Linked DNA regions of Cricetulus griseus. The protein of the gene in region 1 interacts with the protein of each later gene in a biochemical or structural test. Links are inferred from orthologs where the notes say so. Each region holds a gene or a part of one and is shown on either strand. Other genes may lie near its edges.

Region 1 (8,171 bases):
AGAAAAAAAGAAAGAAGATAGATATTATTTTACTGGATCATACAGTGTTCCTGTCTACTATTTAGATACAGCATATTTTAACCAAAGGACTTGACTCTGGTTTCTTCAACATCTACTTCAGTGTTTAGACCATGCAAGAAAATCCTAACATTCGTTTTCCTTTTCAGCGAAACAGCATTATTTCTATTCCCTTTGTTTACTACCCTTCATTTCCATTGCTTTACTGTCATGTGACCTTTGGGAACTGATCGTGGTGTTTTCCATGTGCTAAGGAAGAAATGGTAGGCATGTTTAAAAAGGAGTTGCTAGGCGGTTAGAACTGCTATTCTGGTAGGTTCCATTAAAAATCTCTCAATTTCCAGAGTATGTGTGGGTAAAGCTGAACTGAATTTTATCACACAAAAGTACTCTGGATTCCTTAAGGAAGACAGGGAGCTGGGAGCTATTCCCACCTAAGTTTGAAATGGATCCCGGCTATTGTGAGCTTAATCTCATGACGTCACCATGCTTATAATCTTAAGATGTACAGAATATATTAAATTTAAATATTGTTAGATTTTTTTCTCATTTTTAATATTTTATTTTATTTGAAGCAGGGTCTTTCTACATAGCCTGGCTGTCCTGGTACTCATTGTGCAGACCAGGCTGGCCTCGAACTCACAGTCCAGAGACGAGAGGCCAAGTCTGTTCTCAGCAGTTACAAACAAACAGAGCAATCGTTGCTCTACTTGACACTTAACTCCACCATCAGTGGCAATAACTAGTCAGAAACAGAGTGGCCAGCCAGCGTGGCTGATGTTCCATACTGACTTCGACTTTAATTAGCATACCATGGTCTACTAAGCAAATATCCGCCCCCCACACAGATAAGCCACATTCAGTAAAACAAGCAAGCAAATGGGTTTCTATAAAAGATGAAAGATAAGTCAAGTGATTGCTAGTTTCTTTCTGCATGTAGGTATTCAGTAGCTAGTAGCCACTCTAATGAATATTCCCTCCTTCCTATTACAGAACATAGTACATAGGCGTTGGTGGCAAACGCCTTTAATCCCAGCATTCGGGAGGCAGAGGCAGGCGGATCTCTGTGAGTTCGAGGCCAGCCTGGTCTCCAGAGCGAGTGCCAGGATAGGCTCCAAAGCTACACAGAGAAACCCTGTCTCGAAAAACAAAGAAAAAAAAAAATCACAAGCCTAAGCCTTAGGCATGACACTATTTTACTCGGCTTGATTATTATAATTCTCCTGCTTTTTTTTAAAGTTTGTTTATTGACCCACACAATAGACGTACCGATAATTCTCCCCACCTATACCGTATCACTCGCAAAGAGGCTTAGGAGATGATAATTACGGATGGCACTAAACTGTCCGTGTCACAGATGAGGAGCTGAAGGTGTGTTGAAGCTCCCTAGTCAAGTTTCCCGTCACTGGGAAGCAAGCGGGTGTGGTTCTCAGCTTTCCCACTTTGTCTGTCTTTGCAGGCGTGAAAATGGAGGAGTTCCTTCCCCCGGGGGCAAGCTTAAAATGCACGGTCTGCAGCTACACGGCTGATTCCGTGATCAACTTCCACCAACACCTCTTCTCCCATCTCAGTCAAGCTGCCTTCCGGTGCAGCCACTGCCATTTTGGCTTCCAGACTCAGAGGGAGTTACTGCAGCACCAGGACCTCCATGTCCCCGGTGGTGGCAAACTTCCCAGAGAAAGCGACATGGAGCACTCTCCAAGTGGAACTGAAGACGGCTTACAGCCAGCCACAGACTTGCTGGCCAGGAGCGACCTCTCCCAGAGCCAAAAGGCCATGCAGACTAAAGATGCGAGCTCAGACACGGAACTGGACAAGTGTGAGAAAAAGACTCAGCTCTTCCTGGGCAGCCAGAGACCAGAGATACAGCCGGCAGCCAACAAACAAAGCTTTTCTTACACAAAAATCAAGTCTGAGCCCTCCAGCCCGAGACTCGCTTCCTCGCCGGTGCAACCCAACATGGGGCCCTCCTTCCCCGTGGGGCCTTTCCTGTCTCAGTTCGCTTTCCCCCAAGATATCACCATGGTCCCTCAGGCTTCAGAGATCTTAGCCAAGATGTCCGAGCTGGTCCACCGGCGACTGAGACACGGGAGTAGTAGCTACCCTCCCGTCATCTACAGCCCTCTGATGCCCAAAGGGGCTACATGCTTTGAGTGTAACATAACATTCAACAACTTGGATAACTACCTAGTTCATAAAAAACACTACTGCAGCAGCCGGTGGCAGCAGATGGCCAAGTCCCCCGACTTTCCGGGGGTTTCGGAAAAGATGCCCGAAGCCGTGAGTCCCAACACTGGCCAGGCTTCCATCAACCTCCTCAACCCAGCCGTTCATTCCTCGGACCCGGAGACGACGCCGCTTCTTCAAACGGCGGCGGCGGCGGCGTGCATCAACTCTTCCACCGTCTTAGACTTGATCGGGCCAAACGGGAAAAGCCACGAGAAGGACTTTTCCGCCCAAGCCAAGAAGCTGTCCACCTCCACCAGCAACGAAGACAAAATGAACGGGAAGCCCGTGGATGTGAAGAATGCCAGCGGCCCCTTAGTGGACGGGGAGGGCGACCCCAATAAGACGACCTGCGAGGCTTGCAACATCACCTTCAGCAGGCACGAAACCTACATGGTCCACAAACAGTATTACTGTGCAACACGCCACGACCCTCCCCTGAAGAGGTCTGCGTCCAGCAAAGTGCCGGCCATGCAGAGAACCATGCGCACCCGCAAGCGAAGGAAGATGTACGAGATGTGCCTGCCCGAGCAGGAGCAAAGGCCGCCCCTGGTCCAGCAGAGGTTCCTGGATGTAGCCAACCTCGGCAACCCCTGTAGCTCCACCCAGGAGCCCAGCGAAGGGCTGGGAGAATGCTACCACCCGAGATGCGACCTCTTCCCGGGAATCGTCTCGAAGCACTTGGAAACCTCGCTGGCCATGAACAAATGCGTCCCGGTGGTCCCCAAGTGTGACACCGCGACCCACCCCAGCGTTTCCTGCCTGGATCAGATGGACGTGCCCATGGATCTCAGCAAAAAGTGTCTCTCGCAGTCTGAGCGGACCACCGCCTCTCCCAAACGGCTGCTCGACTACCACGAGTGCACCGTGTGCAAGATCAGCTTCAACAAGGTGGAGAACTACCTGGCCCACAAGCAGAACTTCTGCCCGGTGACTGCCCATCAGCGCAGCGACCTGAGCCAGCTGGACGGCAAGGCGTTCCCGCATCCAGAGAGCGAGCGCAGCAGCCCCGACGTGGGCTTCGAAAGAAACATGATCAAATGTGAGAAGAACGGGAATCCGAAGCAGCCTTCTCCCAACGGAAACCTCTTCTCCTCCCATTTAGCCACCTTGCAGGGCCTGAAAGTCTTCAGCGAAGCCGCTCAGCTCATCGCCACCAAGGAAGAAAGCAAACACTTGTTTCTTCCCCAATGCCTTTACCCCGGAGCAATAAAGAAGGCGAAAGGAGCCGACCAGCTCTCTCCCTACTACGGCATAAAGCCAGGCGATTACATCCCTGGTTCTCTGGCCCTGCACAACCCCGACGTAGAGCAAAGCACAAACGCAGAAAACGAGTCTCCTAAAGGCCAGGCCTCCTCGAACGGTTGTGCCGCCGTGCCCAAGAAAGACTCTCTGCCACTGTTGCCCAAGAACAGGGGCATGGTCATAGTGAATGGGGGACTAAAGCCAGACGAAAGGCCCACGGCCAACCCACAGCAAGAGAACATTTCGCAGAACGCCCAGCACGACGATGACCACAAATCCCCTTCGTGGATCTCTGAAAACACGTTAGCTGCGAATGAGAACGTCTCCCCAGGAATTCCCTCGGCAGAAGAACAGTTGTCCAGCATAGCAAAAGGCGTGAACGGCTCCGCCCAGGCTCCCAGCAGTGGGAAATACTGCCGGCTATGCGATATCCAGTTCAATAACCTCTCAAACTTTATAACTCACAAGAAGTTCTATTGCTCATCACATGCAGCCGAACATGTCAAATGAACTAACTGAACCTACAAAAAGAAAAGAAAAGAAAGAAAGAAAACAGTCACCTTTGGTACCACTGTTTAGTATGTTCTTCTAAACAGTCCAGAAATAAACAAGGACGCTCTTTGAATTACATCTGGCAATCAGGAGACACCCATTACGGCTGAGTTGAAGACTCACGATGTAATTTCATTACAGACCATTAGTAAAGTGTATTATTGGTGCCATTTTCCAGACAAAAAAATTAATTTATTTTACCAGCAGTATTCATAGCTGTGGTTATGTTATTTTTTATTTAAAAACTTTATATTAAAGTCATTTGTAATGTTACTGTATAGTTATTGTGTAGCATATACGGTTTGCACTGTATAGTAGCTTTTAAAGAAAATAGTCACAAACAATACAGAAAAGCATTTTAGAAATAGCTTCCAAAGCACCTGTGTATCCTGGTTTTTTCTTATATGCTGTTGCAGATATATGTATATGCTAAAATATAACCTGCAAACATGTTCTAAATACACGTGCTGTAAGTTCGCCTTAAGATTTCAATTCTTGGATAATCAGGCTCCATTTGCACTTTATATTTTAGCAAATACAGTCTCTTCGTCACTAGGCTTTGCATTCGTACGTAGCCGTATATTTCTGTCCATTTTCTCAAACTTAAAACATGTATGTTAAATGAAGATGGCATTTTGCTTTCTTGTATAGTACTTGTATTTTCTTTCGCCAATGCAGCCCTGTCTCAGTTTTTAAACCTTTGCTGTTAAATGCAATACTTTATAAAGAATGAACAAAATTACTGGAAGCAGTATTGTAAGTAACGGAGTAGTATTAATCAGTTTTATCTTTTGAGAGGCACAGTCTAAATTGAACCCCTAAACTCGATGCTGCAAGTATGAATTTAATTCATATATAAGATCTATTTAAATATCAGAGTAGCAATACTGCCCCTGGTGATCACAAAGATAATGTTCTACTTCTGATAGAAATAATTTCTCAACAAATGTTGTTACTATGCATGTATATGGATGGAATAAAATTCCAAATTGTTGGAGAAATTGGATGTCCTGGCCTTTTTTCACCCCCATTAAGCACCAAGGAAACAGTATCCAACTCTCATTGTGTCCCACACTAAATAGCAACACTTTATCATCAGTTACATGTTAATTTCTGTTGCCAACTCCCTTTCAAAAAATGGAACTGTGTTTTTCATTGCCTCTGTTGAACCCAGCCATTCTCAGTTACACTCGAGACATACCAACCTAGGATGCCTCTGTTGTGGCTACAGCAGCAGCCATGGCAGTAAACCAAAATTGCAGGCATCCCCTTAACATAGTGGTTCTCTACCTTCCCGGCACTGTGACCCTTTATTACAGTTCCTCGTGGTTGTGGGGAACCCCCAGGCATAACATTATTTTTGTTGCTACCTCATAGCTGTAATTTTCCTACTGTTATCAATCATAATGTAAACATTTGTGTTTTCCAAAGGTCTTGGGTGACCCCTGTGGGAGGGTAGTTTGACGCCAATGGTGGTAACCACTACCTTAGCTTCCGATTTGACAGATTTTAGTATTTTCTAGTGAATTTAAATACTATAGAAAAATCTAAAGAAAAAAATGAACATAAACCATATCTTTTTACCACCATTACTCGGACTACTCAACTAATGCTTACAATCTGAACTGGGTTTAAAAATATCCGACATTTATGTTGAATGTCTTAACTCAAACCAAAAAGCAAACCACTGTAGGAACTGTTAAGAACACTGAATCCCTTTGCGTTTTCCAGCCCTACTAGAAGTCTCAGATTTTTAAGCATCCAAAGTTGCAGAGCTAATGAGAAAGCAGCAGAAACCCCAGGAGTTGTTCTCAATTATGTGTGCATCCACGTCACACTGTAAATGCAGAGGCAAGGGATGCATGGGGCCCACTGTAACGATAAGTCTTTACTCTGTCTGCCCGAGCCCCGCCACCACGTGGGCACCCAGAATAACACACAGAGCCTTATATTAGTTTATAATGCTGCTGGCCAATTGACTAGGATTTCTTATATGCTAGCTCAGTCTTAATTATCATAAATCTATATATTTTATAAGACTTATCTTATAGAGGACACCTTCTGCTGGCATCCTCTTCCCAGGATCACATGGTGGCTTCAGTGGAGAAGACAGCAGGAGGAAGAAGAGAGAGCAAGAGTGCCATTTCCTGCTTATATTCTGAATCTTCTTGCTATGTCACTTCCTGCCTGGATCTCTTACTTCATTTCCCAGAATTCTCCTGACTTCTAGTCCTGCCTATCTTGCTCCACTATTGGCCAACAGTGCTTTATTCAACAACCAATAAGATTAACATATACACAGAAGGACCTCCCCCATCAGTCCACGGTTGATGTCTGATGTGTGACTTAAAGGAAAGCCAACCTTTACCAAAGAGATCATTTCAGCGACATCAGCCTCCTCCAAGCTCTAGAGTGTGACTCTAGATTTCCAGAGTGTGTGATTGATGCCTTCAGAGACCACCAACCTTGGAAGGATAACCACCCTGCCTAGTGGTAACACTCACCCCCATATGCCACACTCGGCTTGTCCTTTGCCACACAATCAAAAGCATCTGACAGCGCACCCTAACATTATCCCCTTAGTGTTCAGTGGAAAGAATACCTCTCACTGTGTACTCACAACGCATAGCTCTCTGGTTCTGTGTGCCCTGAGGGAATCCATGGCTACGGGCTGTGCTGTGCATCCTGTACTAGCTCACAAATAATGAGAAGCATTTTCTCCATTCTAGCCTGAGCTCAATCTCTACATGGGATTGACCACTCGAAGGAGTTCCCCCTACAACCTTATGTTCCCACAGACTCCAGTAAATATTAGGCCATTATTCAATCTACACCTCAACATCAGTGGCATTGACAATCAACCTATTACTTTTGTGTGTTAAATTTATTATCTTTGGGACCAATTCCCTTTTGTTCAGTGAAAAATGCTGAGTGGCATTTCACATGCCCAAAGGGCAAACAAATGAAAACTAGAAAATATGGTCCATGGTGTATTATATCTATGAAAAGAAACATTGCCCTAATAGGAACTGTGAAAACAAAATGACCAAGATCTGTTTATTTCGTAGGTTATTTTTACTATGAATTTATGTAGGGGATGAAAGTCTTGACAGTTCCACACGGCAAGCACCCATTCAGAAAATGCCTTTGTTTCTCAGTAATTACAGTAGTCATGTCCAGGTGGATCTCTATAAGTTCAAGGCCAGCCTGGTCTCCAGAGGAGTGCCAGGACAGGCTCCAAAGCTACACAGAGAAACCCTGTCTCGAAAAACCAAAAAAAGAAAACAAAGAATAGTAGTCATGTCACGAGAATGTAAGGTTGGCTTTCCTACAATAACAGGCAATCTTGTTCCACCACAGTATCAATCTTTATTATTAAAAGCCAAAATTACCTAGAGTTGTTTTTTAGATGATATTATTCCTAGATTCCAGTTTTTATAGACTTGAAATAATCTCATCTTGGATCACTTTGCCATGTAATAAAAAATGTAATACAAGTAATATGTATTTTGAACTTTGTGGATTTAAGAAGTAAATGGCAGCCCCCACTTTCTAATGTCATCATTCATCTTTAACATGATCTTGTAATACTGAACCCTTATGGGACTCATCTTGATAGGATTAATTTTAAATGTTTGCCATTAAAATCAGATACTCATTTTCAGATTTAGTTAAGCCCAGTGGTATTCCGTGGTTTGAAAGAGTCCAACTTCTAATTTCTTGAGTTAGTATTGGCAATTTCTGTGTACTCCTCCAGCTAGATCATCATAAAACTATGTTAAGAAGAAACAAATCTCAGAGAGTGAACTGAACCACAAATTAAATAAGTAGGCGTGGGAAAGCATCTGGAATAACTATAATTTGAACCTCTGTCTACAACTTTTCTTCTCATCACTCCTGAACAACAAAGATGTATTCGATAAATATCTGTGAATGGACTGAGAAATGAATAATCTAAACAGAGAAGAGTTTGCACATGGATATGTAAGTGACTCAAAATAGAAGACTACGTGAATGGTAAGTTGAAGGTTAACCTGACTTAATGAAATTATTGATGGAAAGACACGATGTGTCAGATAGTTTTCAAGAGATTGGCTTTAAATATGATGATAGGCACTTTGGGAAATAAA
Region 2 (8,171 bases), on another chromosome or scaffold:
CAGTGAGGACTTGGGGTGTACCCTGCTGCTCACTACCTTGCCATTGCCAGTATGAAAGGATTTTAGAACTTGGGGCACGACCACTCAGGCAGGTGGCAGGTGAATGCTGGGAATGCTATAATATCAGGGTCTGGCTGCCATTCAGTCAGATTCCCTTTCAACACAGCTTGTTCCCGTAAGACCAGGACAAAGACATTCTCTCTACTCTGGGCTCACTGTCTGCCCTGACTGCCAGTATGGTGTGAGGATGTCTCTGCATGCAGTGAGAGGGTGCCAGAGGGAGATGGACACAGCTCTCGGGTCTGTGTATGTTCACATGTGAAATCATAGGACAACTTGCAGGGGTCAGTTCTCTCCTGCACTGTGGGAGTCAGTTACCCTGAAGCCATGCGGCTTGGTGGCAAGTGCCTTTACCCATTGAGCCATCTCACTGGACCAGAGTTTTACTTTATGGGGCAATTCAAGTGAGCTATACAATTGCCCCTCTGGGTCTTAGAGCGAAGTGAGTTCATACCAGAACTCTGCACTTACCCTCCAGTGATCTAGGAACATCACTACCCCTCACTCCCTGCTGCCGCCCCCCCCCCCCCCGTTAGCTGGTAAAGCTGTGTCATGTCCTTGGCTCCACCAGACTTGTGTGCTCTCTGCTTGCCTTGGCATCAGCCACTGAGGACACCCTCCCTACAGTGTACTTACCACACATTTCTTCTCCTTATAGGTATCCGCCCTCAGATCATGAACGGCCCCCTGCATCCCCGCCCCCTAGTGGCACTGCTCGACGGCAGAGACTGTACCGTGGAAATGCCCATCCTGAAGGATCTGGCCACTGTGGCCTTCTGTGATGCACAGTCTACTCAGGAAATCCATGAAAAGGTGGGTTGCACCCCACCTTACCTGGGCCCCTCCAGGCCAGCTGATGTCAGTAAGCACAGTAGTCACACACAGGAATGCCTAAAGTGTATGGAATTCCCGATGTCCTTAGCCTACTCTGCCACCCTCAGGCACTTACTCCATGTCTCCATCCTATAATTTCTGCTAACAAAGTCTCAGAGCCTTGTGTTCCCAGGGGTTCTGACCTGTGACTCATGTCCCTGCCCACAGGTGTTGAATGAGGCTGTGGGTGCCATGATGTACCACACTATCACCCTCACCAGGGAAGACCTGGAGAAGTTCAAGGCTCTTCGTGTGATCGTGAGAATTGGCAGTGGCTATGACAACGTGGACATCAAGGCTGCTGGTGAGCTCGGTGAGTCGAAAGGCCATGCTGGCTGCCTGGAGGCCACACTCAGTAATGGGCAGAACGCAGAAGGCAGGGCAGTTGTCCTAGGGAGTCTTGTTTCCATTTTCCCATGCACCTTTGCCCAGCCTCAGCTCGAAGCAGGTTCAGGGGCTGGAAGATCTTGAGATAAGCAGTAGATTAGTGAGTTCTTCATTGAGCACACCAAAAGAAGCTGGCCACCACCTGCTGTCCATTCCCAGGGTGCTTCTCAGAGAAAACCACAGGCGGGTAGAAAGCTAAGCAGGAAGGTAGAGTACCTGAGTGGCACAGGGGACTCCTGCCCACACCCCCATGAGAATTGGTGTACACTGGCAGCAGAGCCTGGGGGGGTCAGTGGGGAGTGCCTCAGAGCCACGTATTTTGTCTGAATAAAGTGTGCCGCCTCTTTATTCATGAGCCTCATGCATTTGAAATACCTCAGAATAACTAGAAACCCATGTACCGATGGTGCCACAGCAGCCTGAGCATAGTAATGCTCGTACCATCAGCCTGGGCCTACCACCTGCTGCTGCCTCACCCCAAGGGCTCCTGGAACTAACTCCTAGGACAGCAAAGCCAGGTGTGCGCAGTGCCTCACAGTCATCTCTGCACCGGGCCTAACGCTAGACTCGACAGCTCTGTCTATAACCCAGACACACCCGCCATGCTGGCCACTGAAGCAGCACTGGATCCAACTTCCCTTCACAGTCTGAGCCTGCAGCTTTGAGAGGGGTGGGTGCCTGTTTTTAGTTTTCTGTTTCTTTGCATTTAGAGCAGCAGTTACTATGAGCCTGAACCCCAGGATAAGAAAAGGACAAAGGAAGCTGTGCCGGGTGGCACCAGCCAATGCCCACAGTATGTCTGTGGGGCAACCTCACAGGGGAAGGTAGACATCTCATGTAAAGCAGAATCAGTCCTATTCAGCCCGGGCTTTTGAGAGTCCTGGGTAATCATGGCTTCCTATGTCCCTACCCTAAGCAGCCTTGTTCTTTTCCAGTTACAGCCCCTCTGAGCCCCTCTTTGGCAACAGAAGAAACTTGTTGTGATTGATGTGAGGCCACGTACCTGAGTTTAATTGAGAAAACTACCTGGTGCGGTGTTATACACCTGTTATCCAGGGAGGTCTCTTGAGTTTGAGGCCACCCTGGTCTGCATAGCAAGTTTGAGCCTAGCCTTAGCTACTTAGACCCTGTCTCAGAAAAAGAAAGAAAAGAAAAAAGATGTTTCCCAGACACGAGCAAGTATGCTTGTGTTTAAAAATATGTATCTGAGCCTGAAGGAAGTGGCCACACACCTTTAATCTCAGTACTCTGGGAGGCAGAGGCAGGTAGATCTCTGAGTTCAAGGCCAGCTTGGCCAATGGAGTTAATTCCAGGCCAGGGCTGTTACATAGAGAAACCCTGTCTAGAAAAAAAGCAAACAAAAGACGTGTGTCTGTCAGGAATAGAGATAAATTCCCTGAGTTGGGACTATGCAGGAAGACATTCAGCTTTCTAGCCCATTGTCTCTCACACATAGTTCCTGTTGGTAGTCAGCCCCTCTTCTCCAGTCAGAGTCCAAGAAACAGACTGCCTAGGGCCAGAGCGTTGAAAAGTGTAAAGGGGACACGAAGTGTCACTATTGTGGCCCATTGTGATTGGAGTGGCTATTCAGAAGACTTCTGCTAATGAAATAGATGGTCCTCCAGCAGTGTCTGTCATTTAGCTCTAAGTACATATGGTGCCTATCAAGTCAGCCAGCAGACCCTTTGGAGAGTAGTAAGACGAGTGGCAGGTGTGCCCTGTTCCTGGAAGGGAACACTCCACAGTGGACCTAGCAGGTAGTGATAACTGGGTCTTGTGTGAAGCCCTCTGTATCTATAGGTGCAGCCCTTCAATCTGTTTAATGCAGGGCAGCACTTACCCACAACACCCTAGTTCTCCAGAGATCATGCATAACACAGGTAATGGAACATCCTTGGTCTCTCCTCAGAAGGTTATTCAGCTATTTGGAGCCACTTACAGTGACTCCTTCATTTCCTCATTTAAAACCATGGTCTTTTTCTCGGGACGTCAGAGAACCATATGGGAATTGGCACTTGGAGGTTACCCTGGGGAGAACATATCCACTGAACTCTTTGGCATGTCTACAAGACCCACTTCAATGATCAACGGACAGCTGTCTGCCGTTTCTGGCAAGATGGTTCCTCTTCTTGTCCAATTATTAATTATTCCCAGGCTTGGGTTCCGCCTCTCCACGAGGGTGCTAGAGCCAAGAAGCTACATATCCACATTGTGGTTTTGAGTTGAGCAAACATCCTGCCTTGGTCTCCCTCTTTATATAGAACTCTCACCTTGCCTTTATCATATGGGGGCCTGCCTGCACTGATTGTCATTGGTCAGCTAAGCTATGACATCCCTGAACCACAGCTGGGCACACAGCCGAATCTGATTACCACCCACTGGGCTTTTTCTCAGAGGACTGAAATGCGTCATAACAATATAATAATAGCCCGAGATCCCATGCTGAGTCATTCCAAATGAATGGGGCCCCTGTGTTTTGCAGGATTACTGCTCTTCAACTCATAGGAAAGATAGCTTCCATCATCAAGGTTCCTTAGCAAATTTATCTGTAGCCCAGAGAAGTCCACTGCAGCCAGGCAGAGAGGATGGCCTGCTCATGGTGCCCTCCTTCGCTTTGAGCTGTCTGTTTTATTGGGAGGAGTCACATCACTGGACCCCAGGGCAGTCATGGTAGCAAGAAGAGACAAGAAGAGACATAATACCACAGACCTAAGGTGTTTAAGGGACTATTGATCACCTTCCGTCTAGGTGATCTTCGTATCCCCCAGTCTTGAAAAGCCAACAGAACCCAAGGCTACCTTGAAAGGTAGCTGCACCTTGCTGCCCAGATGGCAACTATCAATCAAGATGGAGCCTTTTGGCCTGAAGAGTGGCAGGGAAAGCTACTACCTTTCCTCAACACCCCCTGCTGAAGGGAAGTTGGTGCCCACACCCCTCCTTCCTGGGGGCTTAGTCCATTCTCTGACAGGTCCACCTCAGGCCTCAGGCCTCCTGCTCTCTGCCAGAATCAGATAAACCATGAGCTTTAGAAACGTGGATAACTCTAAAGTCAAGATCCTCCTGCCTCAGCCTTCAGCGTTTAAGGTTAGAGGTGTGTGTCAGCATGCTTGCCTGGAGCTGTGTGTCAACAGTAATTAGTGACTAGGGTATTGGGGTTTACATTAGGGTGCATAAGGTGGAAACAATCTCTTGCCCATATAGCTCCACAATGAGCCTGGAAAAGAGTCTGGATTTCTGGTCCCTCCACCCTTCCAGGCCTGTCCCGGATAGATCTGGGACTGAAGCACCCACCATCTTTCTGCCTGCTCTGGGGCTCCTTTGGGCCTCAGACCAGGACTGGAAAGAAGGGGAGTTGGGCTGGCTGTGAGCTAAGACTTGAACCTATAAACCATGTTGGATATGTGTGTAGTTAGTGGTGAGTACTTCTGAGACGAAGAGGGCCTACCAAATACTTGACCCAACCCCGGACAGGAAGTAGTAGTTCTCCATTTCTAAGCAGGGTACCTCAGAATCCTGGGACTTTGCTCACCTCTGGGCCTGGCCATTTCCCTTTCAGGGATTGCTGTTTGCAACATCCCATCTGCTGCAGTGGAGGAGACAGCCGATTCCACTGTCTGCCACATCCTCAATCTGTATCGGCGGAACACATGGCTGTACCAGGCCCTACGAGAAGGCACACGGGTTCAGAGCGTGGAACAGATCCGTGAGGTTGCATCGGGAGCTGCCCGGATCCGAGGGGAAACACTGGGCCTCATCGGTTTTGGTATGTGCCTCTTGAGACAGACTTGGTTCAAGGGAGTGGGGGTGGGTAGGTCAAGGGTCAAGAATAATAAGAGAACTTGACCGGTAGTGAGATCTGGGCCTGTTATACAAGAATCTGTCTATGTTGCTGGCCAGTGGTACAGCAGGAGTGCACCCTCTGCTGTCACTGGAAAGGACTGTGCTTGGTAAATCTCCCTGAGGCAGAGGGTAAAAGTTTGGCTGTACAAGGTGTGTTACTACTGGTGAGTGTGTGTAACTAGTGGTGAGCAGCAACCTGGGTCATAGGTCCTGAAGGCTCTTAAATATAGATGCCCCCCTCCCCCCAGCAGTAACATGAAATCACTTAAAGATTCAAGCCTGAGGGTAATGCCAAGCTGTGGGCTTGAAAATCTCTTGTGAGACTAGGACAAGACATAGTCTTTCTGGACTTGGTTGTTGCCATGGAGATATTTGAGCAGAGACCTGGGAGTCTCCAGCAAGTGTGGTAGGGGACCGAGGAAAGTTTAAGCGGTGAAGTGAGATAGACACATGCTACTGCTGTTATCCACACAGACTCCAATAGGACTCCTAGCTGGTTGCGATCACTAACTCACTCCATAACCTTAAGGAATTGTTTGGCTTCTTTGCCTCCATTTCTCGTTCTGTAACTAGAGCATTAGGTGGAAGCAGGGGGATACATGGCTGCTGCCTCTTGACTCTAAGGCAGCATAAGGAACACATGGAAAAGGTTGATTCTGGCTTCCAGAAATTTTTCTGATTCGTATCACCTTTAGCTCAGAGCTGGCTGAGGGTCAGGGCTTCTAAGACAGTTTTAGAAGAGGGAGGATTTACTGGATGACTCCAAGAGTGCTCCTCTTTCTATAGAGCTTCACTCTTCCCCTCCCCCCCCCAACCCCCGACCCCAAGCCTAGGCCTCTGGGGCAGTCAGAGTCTGAGTTCAAGATGCTGGGGAAGGCTCTGTGGTGTTTCACAGGTCTTCAGATATGCAGGTACCATGTGTGAGTACTATAGCACTCTCTGCTAGTACCCTCCTGTGCTTCCTGTGGCCATCCTATGAAGCCCTTCTGTGGCCTGGGATGGTCTCTATCAGGCTGTAGAACCTGTGGGCGGCTCTGAGCCAGCCGGTGAGAAGCCCCTCTCATTCTGGAGTCCCTGTACCCATCACATGTGCTTTTGTAATTGAGTGTTATTTGGCTGAGTGCTGACTTTCAGCTTTCCCAAGCCCTCCCCCTGGCTTCCCTACATTCATGGCTGCTGCAGTCTCCCTGGCTTCCTGTATAGCTCTAATGGTCTATGGCCCCCAGGAACTGTAGTGAAGAGACAGGAGAAAGGATGTTTGCGGCTGCCCAGAGCTGCGGCCAGCCTGCTGAAGAGCAACAAGGGAGGAGGCTCAAAGAAACCTGAAGCTGGGGCTGGACAAAGGTCCCTCACACTGCCTGCCATACTGATAAAAACTGTCTAGATACTTACTTGCCTACTGATGTTTGCTTTTGTTTTTAATTTGGCATACAAGGGTTTAGATACGGCATTGAAAAAAAAAAGGTTTTATTAAAAACTGGAACATTTCACATCATGTCACCTTTATACAGGGGCCACACTTAATGTGTGGTCTGCCAAAGTGAGGGGTTTTTGTCTTTTCTTTTCTTTTTTTCCCGAGACAGGGTTCCTCTGTGGCTTTGGAGGCTGTTCTGGAACTAGCTCTTGTAGACCAAGGTGGTCTCAAACTCACAGAGATTGCCTGCTTCTGCCTCCCGAGTGCTGGGTGGGATTAAAGGCGTGCGCTACCAACACCCAGCGAAGAGGTTTTGTCTTAAACATGGCCTGTGCCTTTGGGTTTTCATCTACAGAGACCACGATGTTGATGGCATTTTAGTCAGAAGTGCTCTGGGTAAGAGTAGAAGGCAGTGAAAACTTGTGTGAATTGATGCAACGCACTCCCATGGAGAATGGCCGAGTCAGCACGGTGTGTTTAGTTCTGGCTTTGGGATCCAGCACCTCTGCCACCTACCGAGGCCCTGGACATATGAAGGCTTCAGATCACAGTATAAAGAAACTGCACACCCAGTTAAGAGAAGAACTCATTTATCAGCTTAGACACGGGTCCTCCAATCCCACCTTTCAAGGATGTCACTGAGCCCTTACTTCCACACTTCCTTCCTCCTTCCACTGTCCAGTCATACTTGCTCCTCTGCCACCCTACCATGGGGTTAGGCTAGCTCCTGGTCAGCCGTGTCCTCAAAGTGACAACAATAAGGGAGATGACATTGACACCGCCGCTGTCAGAGTGGCCTCATTACTCCACAGTTATAGCAAAGAGCACAAAGAGTGAGTGTCTGCTGCTACCAGATGAAGACGTACGCCTTCCCTTCTAACTTTGCTCATTTTCAAAACCATTTATGTGGGTTCTGTATGTAGGTGTCACCTCCCACAGAGTATACTTTGGAGGTCACAGAACAAGCAGGGTTGGTCCTCCTTTCCACCATTTGGGTCATTGTCAGAGTTGACAGCAAGGACCTTCATCCACTGAGCTGTCACACCAACCTTAACCACAGTTTGAACAGGTTTTGTTCCTCTTGTTTTTGAGACAGGTCTCACCATGTAGCCCTGGGTGTTCTGGAATTCACTACGTAGGCCAGGTTGGCCTTGAACTCAGAGATTCACCTGCCTCCGCCTCCCCCTCCCAAGTCCTGGGACTAAAGTCGTGCATCACTACTCCCTGCTTCAACAGAACAGGGTTTTAGATAAGGTATACTTGTAGTTTGCCTATTTGAATTCCAGTCCTGCATAATCCCTCTCAAACCATTTTGTTTTCAAGCTTAAAACCATCATGAGACAGGAAGTGCTGCTGGGATCAGTGGCTTTGAGCAGAGGATAGCCATTGTGGAGTTCTGTCTGCTATCTGACATATTATAATAGGGAGAGTCCGTCAGGCCTTAGGGCAATGGTGTTTTGACCCCCATTAAAGGCAAGTCCAACAGGCATTAGGCTAGAAACATTGATGTTCGCATACTGAGAGAGTGTCAAGAAGTTGGGTACATAAACAAAGATGAGAGAAATAACAGGACCCGGGGCATTATGGTGATGTTTGG

Evidence for each region. The genes of interacting proteins can lie anywhere in the genome.
Region 2: the proteins of Zfpm2 (region 1) and Ctbp2 form a complex in vitro, tested with the Homo sapiens proteins (2 studies listed by BioGRID). The link is inferred for Cricetulus griseus from reciprocal best matches to the Homo sapiens genes ZFPM2 and CTBP2.

Annotation. Positions count from the first base shown.
Region 1 is NC_048603.1:11,224,172-11,232,342, reverse strand, and holds the end of Zfpm2 (zinc finger protein ZFPM2), read left to right. Parts: intron 1-1,477; coding exon 1,478-3,999; 3' UTR 4,000-5,994; downstream 5,995-8,171. UniProt on the Homo sapiens protein: Transcription regulator that plays a central role in heart morphogenesis and development of coronary vessels from epicardium, by regulating genes that are essential during cardiogenesis.
Region 2 is NC_048596.1:67,839,589-67,847,759, forward strand, and holds part of Ctbp2 (C-terminal-binding protein 2), read left to right. Parts: intron 1-718; coding exon 719-873; intron 874-1,101; coding exon 1,102-1,246; intron 1,247-4,876; coding exon 4,877-5,083; intron 5,084-8,171. UniProt on the Homo sapiens protein: Corepressor targeting diverse transcription regulators. Functions in brown adipose tissue (BAT) differentiation. Isoform 2 probably acts as a scaffold for specialized synapses.